Linked DNA regions of Sus scrofa. The protein of the gene in region 1 interacts with the protein of each later gene in a biochemical or structural test. Links are inferred from orthologs where the notes say so. Each region holds a gene or a part of one and is shown on either strand. Other genes may lie near its edges.

The links.
Region 2: of the proteins of SMURF1 (region 1) and SMAD5, one has a biochemical effect on the other in vitro, tested with the Homo sapiens proteins (3 studies listed by BioGRID, with this or other methods). The link is inferred for Sus scrofa from reciprocal best matches to the Homo sapiens genes SMURF1 and SMAD5.

Annotation. Positions count from the first base shown.
Region 1 is NC_010445.4:6,138,868-6,142,610, forward strand, and holds the start of SMURF1 (E3 ubiquitin-protein ligase SMURF1), read right to left. Parts: upstream 2,512-3,743; 5' UTR 1,095-2,511; coding exon 800-1,094; intron 1-799. UniProt on the Homo sapiens protein: E3 ubiquitin-protein ligase that acts as a negative regulator of BMP signaling pathway. Mediates ubiquitination and degradation of SMAD1 and SMAD5, 2 receptor-regulated SMADs specific for the BMP pathway.
Region 2 is NC_010444.4:138,286,898-138,290,558, reverse strand, and holds the start of SMAD5 (mothers against decapentaplegic homolog 5), read right to left. Parts: upstream 2,925-3,661; 5' UTR 2,332-2,924; intron 2,035-2,331; exon of another isoform or gene 1,301-2,034; intron 1-1,300. UniProt on the Homo sapiens protein: Transcriptional regulator that plays a role in various cellular processes including embryonic development, cell differentiation, angiogenesis and tissue homeostasis.

The DNA of each region.
Region 1 (3,743 bases):
AAATCCTGCTTGAATTTAAAATAGTTTCCAAAGTGTCTGATTTGCCGGTGCACTCTAAAATATCTGCAAGACAGCTCTTCAGCAAACATCACTTGATTTTGCATATGTTATGCTCCAAACCTACTGAAACCCTTTAAAAACTATTTTCCTGTTAAAATACCACAAAGACATTCATTAAAATCATATTCTTTTCAGTATAAAGACCCAAACATTCTTCTACTGTTTCAGCAGTGCGACATACTACCCAAGAGTTTTCAAAAACCAAAAGGGCTGGGGGTGGGGGGTGGGGGAGAAATCATAAAATGTAACCCATACACAAAAGGAACGCTTGGCTTCAATCAAACAGAAGCGCTGGGTTTTAACAGCAATTCTGAATATCTGGATTGACACTCAACAATAGAAAGCATAAGCCAATGGTAATTTGGAACAAGTAGGGAGCCAAATTGATATGCCCTCAAGAAGGAAAAGAAAAGAAAGTTACCATGGGCTGAAATCTCACTTTGTACATTAGAAAACAGAACTCACAAGGGTCAAATAATTGGTTCTGTATCAGGCAGTTAATGGTAGATCTTACCAGAACGGAGTCTCCCAATTCTAAACCCAACACTCCACTCACCACCAAATACAACTTTTAGTGGTCGCCAACTTCTAACACTCTTATATTCCAGTGTCTTCATACTTTTCATTGAACTATGCTCTCTGGTATCAACTGACTGGTTAGAATAACCCTTGTTTTAAAACATGGTTTCAAATATCACACAAGGAAATAAACTCTGAAACCTGTGACAAAAGCACATACCTCCTGAAAGATGGCTTCCCAAGATGCCAGCAGTGATCCCACTCCCCCTGGCAAGCTCAAAGAAGAGACCAAAACCTAGTCCGCTGCCAACCAAGTATCTGGTTCCAACCTTTCCAAGTAAATTATTGTTCATCAGACGCCTGGCATCAAGCAGGTCTGCATCCACAGCTAAATTCTCCATCTCGCTGCAGGGAGGAGCAAACTCAGGGATTCCCTTCAGATCCGTAATAACATCAGCTGGGAGAAAGGGAAAAGGTGCTTTGGAAATAACTCTCCTCGCGTAATCCTTCAACATCAGACACTATCCAAAAACTCCTTAAAGCATCTCCGAACCTATGGCATCCAAGTGCCTGAGTCCCAAAATAATTTGGGAGGAAGGATAGAGCCCCCACTCCACCCCTTCCAGGAAAAAAAGGCCCAGGTCCCGACCTGCCAACTAGGCTTGATTAAAACATCTACACCTGACACAAACGTTGTAATGAAAACCTAGTGCTTCTAAAACATTAATCACGCTTCCACCCAAACTCACAAAATCAGTTACTTCTGCTTTTAACAAGAAAAGTGAAACCAATCTGATGTCAATTATAGATTACATTGTAAATGAGGACCAAATTAAAGTTGTCAGTAATTGAAGTTTTACAAGCACTACAAAGTCAAAAACGTGGTTTTTATGTAACCATAAAAATAACAATGTATTTATATACTGTATCTACGTAGTGAGCGTTTCCTACCAGCCCTGGAAGAAAGAATTGTTTCTCCAGAAACAAAAATCCCCGAATCTCCCTTTCCTGGAAACAAAAAAAAAAAAATGGGTCATGCAACAACTAAGAACCTCCAAAGGAAATTTTAGTTTGAAAAAATGACCCACTGTTGTTTTCATGGATTTCACCAATAACTGAGGGCCATGCATTTGCCATAAAGTATCCCAAACGCTCACTGTCCTTTGGAAAGAATCTGACCAGAATGACTTTGGAGTCATCATCAGACCAGACACGGAACAGAAAAAATCCAGGGGAAAACCCCTGACAGGGATTAGCCTGAACTTTTTATTTCATTTCCAGAGCTGGAAATATGCACGTTTGGAAAGTCCCCCAGCCGAACTGTATTTGCAGCATTTCATTTCGGCCTCAGGTGGGAATTCAACCCAGGAGACCGGGCAGCAGCCGTGGAGTACTGAGAGAAAGGGTGGACGAGGATGCAAACTGGTCCAGGATCGCTGGAGCCTGCTAGCGAGGGGCCCCGCCAGACGGTTGCCAGCTACGCGCATCCAAACCACCACGTCGCAGGCCCAGAGCAGAGCTTCGCGCTCACCCTTGAAGGTGGCACTACAGAGCCACCTAGGAGACACGGGCATTTCATTGAAGACTAAAAGAGAGTGAATCAAGGAGCCTGCGTTCGTGCAGCCGCCGGAGCCTCCAGAGCGTGCGTGAGGGGGGCGGGGGTTGGCGGTGTTTAAGGATGTCGGGGGGTGAGGGGGTGACGGCGAAGTGCAGGGCAGAAAAGGAAGCGGCACAGTCAAGAGGAGACAGTGGCCTGGTTTGAGAGAGAAAGGAAGTGCACCAGACTGAAGAGGTCTGGACCAGAGGGGAAATGAGAACAAGACCAGGAGAAGCTAGGAGATAGGATTGAGGAATTCGAGGCTGAAGGAAAGGGTGGAGGCGCGAGACGGAGGCAAGGGGGCGGGGCTGGGAGATAAGCGAGGGCGGGACTAGGTAGAAAATGAGGGGCGGGGCTTAGGGGGAAAGTGAGGGGGCGGGGCCAGGAGGGGAGAAGCGAGGGGGCAAGTGGGGAGGGGTGGTAAAGAGAGGAAGGCGAGAGAGCTGATGGGGGAGGGGTGAGAAGTCGGTGGGCGGGGTGGTGGGGGGACCAGGAGGGAGAAGCGGGAGGCAAGGCCGGGAGGGGAGAAGCGAGGGGGCAGGTGGGGGTAGAGACTGGGAAGCGACAGAGGGTGGGAAGGAGAGGAGAAGCAGGGGGCGGAACCAAGAGGGAAAAGAGAGGGGGCAGGTGAGGGGAAAGGGAAGAAATTGAGGGGAAGGAGGGAGTTGAGAAGTGGGGGCGGGGCCAGGAGGGGAAAAGCGAGGGGCAAGAAGGAGGAGGGGGAGCGAAAAGAGGATGCAGGGGATGAAAACGGAGGGGGTCCAAAAGCAGAGAAGCTAGGGGGCGGGGCCAGGAGGGGGACGCGAGGGGCCTGGGGGAGAACAGGGAGCGGGAGCGAGAAGGATGGAGGGAGTGAACCGGAGGGGGCCAGGAGGGGAGAAGAGAGGGGGCAGGTGGAGGGGGGAGAGAAGCTAGAGGGCGGATGGGGGGGCGAGAAGCGAGGGGGCGGGGCCGGGGAGCAGCGAGGGGGCGGGGCCGGGAGGGAGATGAGGGGCACTAGCCTAAGAGGGCGACGAGGTCCTGGGACCACGGCCGGCGTGGGGGAGGGCCACTTCCCCAGGGCGCTCTGCGGGAAATTCCGGGGCTGCCGAGGGGCCGTGCGGGGTGCGAGTGGGCGCTGGGGGGGCGGCGGGGCCCTCCCGCCGGCCGTACCTGTCAGACGGATCTTGATGCTGGAGCCGTTCCTGCGCGTTCCGGGGTTCGACATCTCCCGCCAACGATCTGGCAGCCGCGGATCCAGCGCCGCCGCCCCCCGGCCCGGCCCGGCCCGGCCCCGCCGCCGCCGCCTCAAGGTTACGGCTCCGGGCTGGGCGCCGGGGTCCGAGCCGGGACACAAACTCCGCGGCCCAGGCGTCTGGGCTACTGGTGGATGGTCGAGCTGGAGGATCGGCGCTCGACCCTGCGCCCCCGACCCTCGCTCGCTCCTAGCCGAGCCCAGTCCAGAGCCGCTGCTGCCGCCGCCGACACCACCTCTGAGCCGGACGCCCGCCGCCCTCGCCGCTTCCGCCGCCGCCGCCGCCGCCTCCCGGAGCCGCGCGCGCTCCCGCCGCCGGGCCGGCCCGGCCCT
Region 2 (3,661 bases), on another chromosome or scaffold:
TAATACTTCCAGCAACATGTTACATAACCAGTAAACAACAATCTGATTCAGACCTCATTAGTAACAACATTCTGCCACTGCCTCTCACTGAAATTAATAACTCACTTTGCCAGAGGGGAAAGAAATGCAACACGTATCAATCTACCCATTTTTGTGGCGCCTACCACAGTGAACCAGACAAGCAGATAACCACATCTGCACAGAACCTACAAAAATATTCTTTTCTTTTCCAGATCCCTGTTCTTTTCTTCATTTTAAATAGACATCATATGGATGCATTTAAAATCTAAGAGGAAAGTCAGTTGGGAAGGTTCATCTAACTTTTATTGCCTATTTCAGCTGTGATCTCAAAGGAATGGAAGCATAAATGACGAATGGATTTTATTAACAAAAATAACTGGCTGAAGTTTATGCGATAAAAGCAGCTATGTGCAAAGCAAAGGCATACCGACTGAGAAAGCAGCAGTGCAGAGAAGGAAGAAGGGAGGAGGCTATGGAGACAATCATTTAAAAAAAAATCTAAAGGTAATTTATACAACCTTTATGAAGGTTACACTTTGTTAACTTGTTTCTTAAGAATTGTTCTGTATTCTTGTAATCTCAGATTCACCTTAAAGGAAAAAAACTTAACCAAAGTAGCAGTAAAAGAAGGGATATAAAATGTGTTCAGATCTATAAATAATTCCTTATTTACTTAACTTGGAACACAATGATTTCATTAAAATATATGGATCAAAAAACGTGAAACTGTCACACTGTGTAGAGAGGTCCTCTCCCCCACAACACTGGCATGTAAGAGCCATGTGAAACTGCTTGGAAGGTTACTAACCTCTGGGGATGAAGTTTTTTAACCTTTCAGCTTGCATATTGGAAACTAATTCACTCTGGGCAAGTTGGGTACTCTAATTGAAGGATATTTAACTACTCCAGTTAAAAAAAAAAAAAAGAATAAAGAGTTTAAAAAACAGCAACTCAAGAAACCCTTCCTCTCAACTTCTATAAGGCCAAGGCTCCTAGGACAACCTCCTACCTATCCAGTCTTTGTTGCTGGAAGAGAACACTTCTGGTGGTGCTAGGCAACAGGCATGATGTGACAAACCTAACGAGACTTCAAAACTTTTTCCACAGAAAGATAAGGTAAACAAGATACACTTAGTACCACACCCACAAAAACGCAGAGGCAGCCAGGAATGCTCCCCCCAACTCCCCCCACCCCACCCTCCGACCTCCAGCTGGTCAGGAAACAATGTCTCTACAATCAAGATAGAGATCTGGCCCAGGGTGTTCAGGCATTCCTCACCTCTAGGCTGGCCTACAGCTCCACTCTCCAATGCCATCCAAACCAGAACTGGAACATTTTGTTAGGAAGCGGGCAAACGTCCAAAATACCCGACTATCCTCGCCCCAGTTCTTTTTGCAACCAAAATCTGTTTGGGCTACTGAGCATGCTCCGACTTAAGACAGGCGCCACATGGGAGTTTTCAAAGCTTAGGCTCCAAACTCCACGTAATAACAGCAGCTGAAAGGGGAAGAGAGCAAAGAGGGGGAGGGAGGGGGAGGGGAGCCGACCCGACCGTGAATCTGAGTCCTGACACTCGACTGGAGGACCCCGGCAGGGGTGGAAGAGGCTGTAGGCAAACAGTCACTGTCTGCCGCTTGCCTTGCAGCAGCTGATAGGAAGTAGAAGAAATCTCTGCCAGGATGAAAACTGGCATGGCAAGTGGCTCAAACCAGGTCGAAGCACCAGCTGGGTGCAGCGGCAGGTCACAAATAACCAGGGTGTAATTCCCACCGATAAGCGTGGATCCTTAAGATAAGGACTGAAACACAAAGCGACGGCGGCACGGATTGATTCATCGAGCCACCGGGCTGCTTGGCAGGGTGGCCGACCCGGCTGCTCGGCCGAGCTCGGCCATCCTCCCAGGGGTGTGTTTGAGGGTGGCGCTTAGAAGAGGGAGAACAAACCGCTCCTCCGGACCGAAGCGAGGCCGGGGAGCCCCGCGAAGCGTCCTGAACGCCTCCCGCCTCAGTGCGGGCGGTAACGGCGGCGTCGGGACAAGGGCCAGCCTCTGCCCCGCCTCGGGACGGCCCCGGCCGCAGGCCAGGCCTCCGCAGCCGGCCGAGCCGCACCATGGGCGCCCGCCTGGACCCGGGCAGGCCGGGGCTCGGCCTACCTCCCGCCCCGCAGGCCCGGCTGGTTTCCGCTCCGCCCGCGGCCGCACGCCCCCGCCTCGGCCCGAGTCCGGCCGCTAGGGCAGAGCCGCGTCCCCGCACAGCCCGCAGCCCCCGCTCCCGCTCGCCCGCCCGTCCCAGGGCCCCACATTCACTCACGGGCCGGCGGCGCGCGCTCTCCCGGCGCCGTCGCCGCGCTTTCCCTCGGCGCAACTTTATTAGCAGCTCGGCCGCGGGACACGCGCACGGCGCCCGCTCGCCCAGGACCCGGATGAAGGAGGGAAGGAGCCGGGGAGGACGCCGCGGGCTCGGCGCATGCGCGCAAGCGGCCGAGTGACCGCTGCGGGACGGAGGGAAGGGCCGTCTCGCTCCGGCGGCTGAGGAAGCCTCCGCGCTTGGCTCGGCGCCCGCAATCTCCGGCTTCCGATCTGCGGATCTGGTGGAGGCTTCCCGTGTCCACGGCCAGGCCCAGGAGTGGCAGTCGGCTAGTTCCCACCACCGCTAGTAGTCTCCATTAACCAAGTCAGCCCACGTTGTAATAAAATAAAATAATTGTCCTTGACATGGACGGTTGAAGATTTTCTCAGTCACATATAAAGTGTAAATAAAAACATCTTCAGATGCCCCTTAGCTCCGCTTAATGATTTGCAATACAAATATAAATCTGAGGGCAGAGAGTCCTCTTTCTGCGGAGAGAGTAAGTTCAAAACAAGCTGCTTGGATACAGCTGCTTACTGGATGCGGCCTGAAAACCCCTCCCACGTGGAAATCTTGGCGCCTCTACCATCCTCCACCCCTTTTGCAGTGCCAGACCTTGGAGTTCCCCGAACTAGGGCTGTCCACGTACTGACACCCCAGCAGTGCAAGAGAGGCCGTCCTGGACAGCTGGGGACACCGAGGGGCGCAGAGGGCGCCCACAGACTGATAGAGCTCCACTCCATCTCCCCAAACAAGAGCCTACTTCTCTTTTCTCAGATACTGAGGCTCTTCTCAAAGCTCCCTCCCTCCCCCATCTTCCAAAGGGTCAGCATGTCCCAGAAAACGAGAGTGGTACCTTCTAAGGCACCCACTTTGGAGACGACGAAAGAAGAAGACTTTTCGGCAATTTTGTTTTTATTTGAAAACTTCCATACGGGTTTTCCATATTCCGCTATGGGTTAACTCAAATCAATCTAAGTCAAAATCAAAATTGGAGTCATTTTCAAATCCTCCCTCTCATTCCCTAAACCAAACCGTCGCGAAATCTTATTAATACTACCTTCCAAATATATCCCAAATCGGACCATTTCCTGTGGCCTCTTTGGCCACCACTGTGGCCTGCCCCAAGGTCATCTCACCTGAAACAAGTGGGAAGCAGCTGTCTTGCTCCAGGCTTCAGTGGTTGGTTTCAACGGTGAAGAGATATAGTCAATGGGAAATGTCCCTACATTCAAGGCAGTCATCTCAGACGTGGACAGAGGCCTCTGAGGGAGTGGGAAACCAGCGAGGC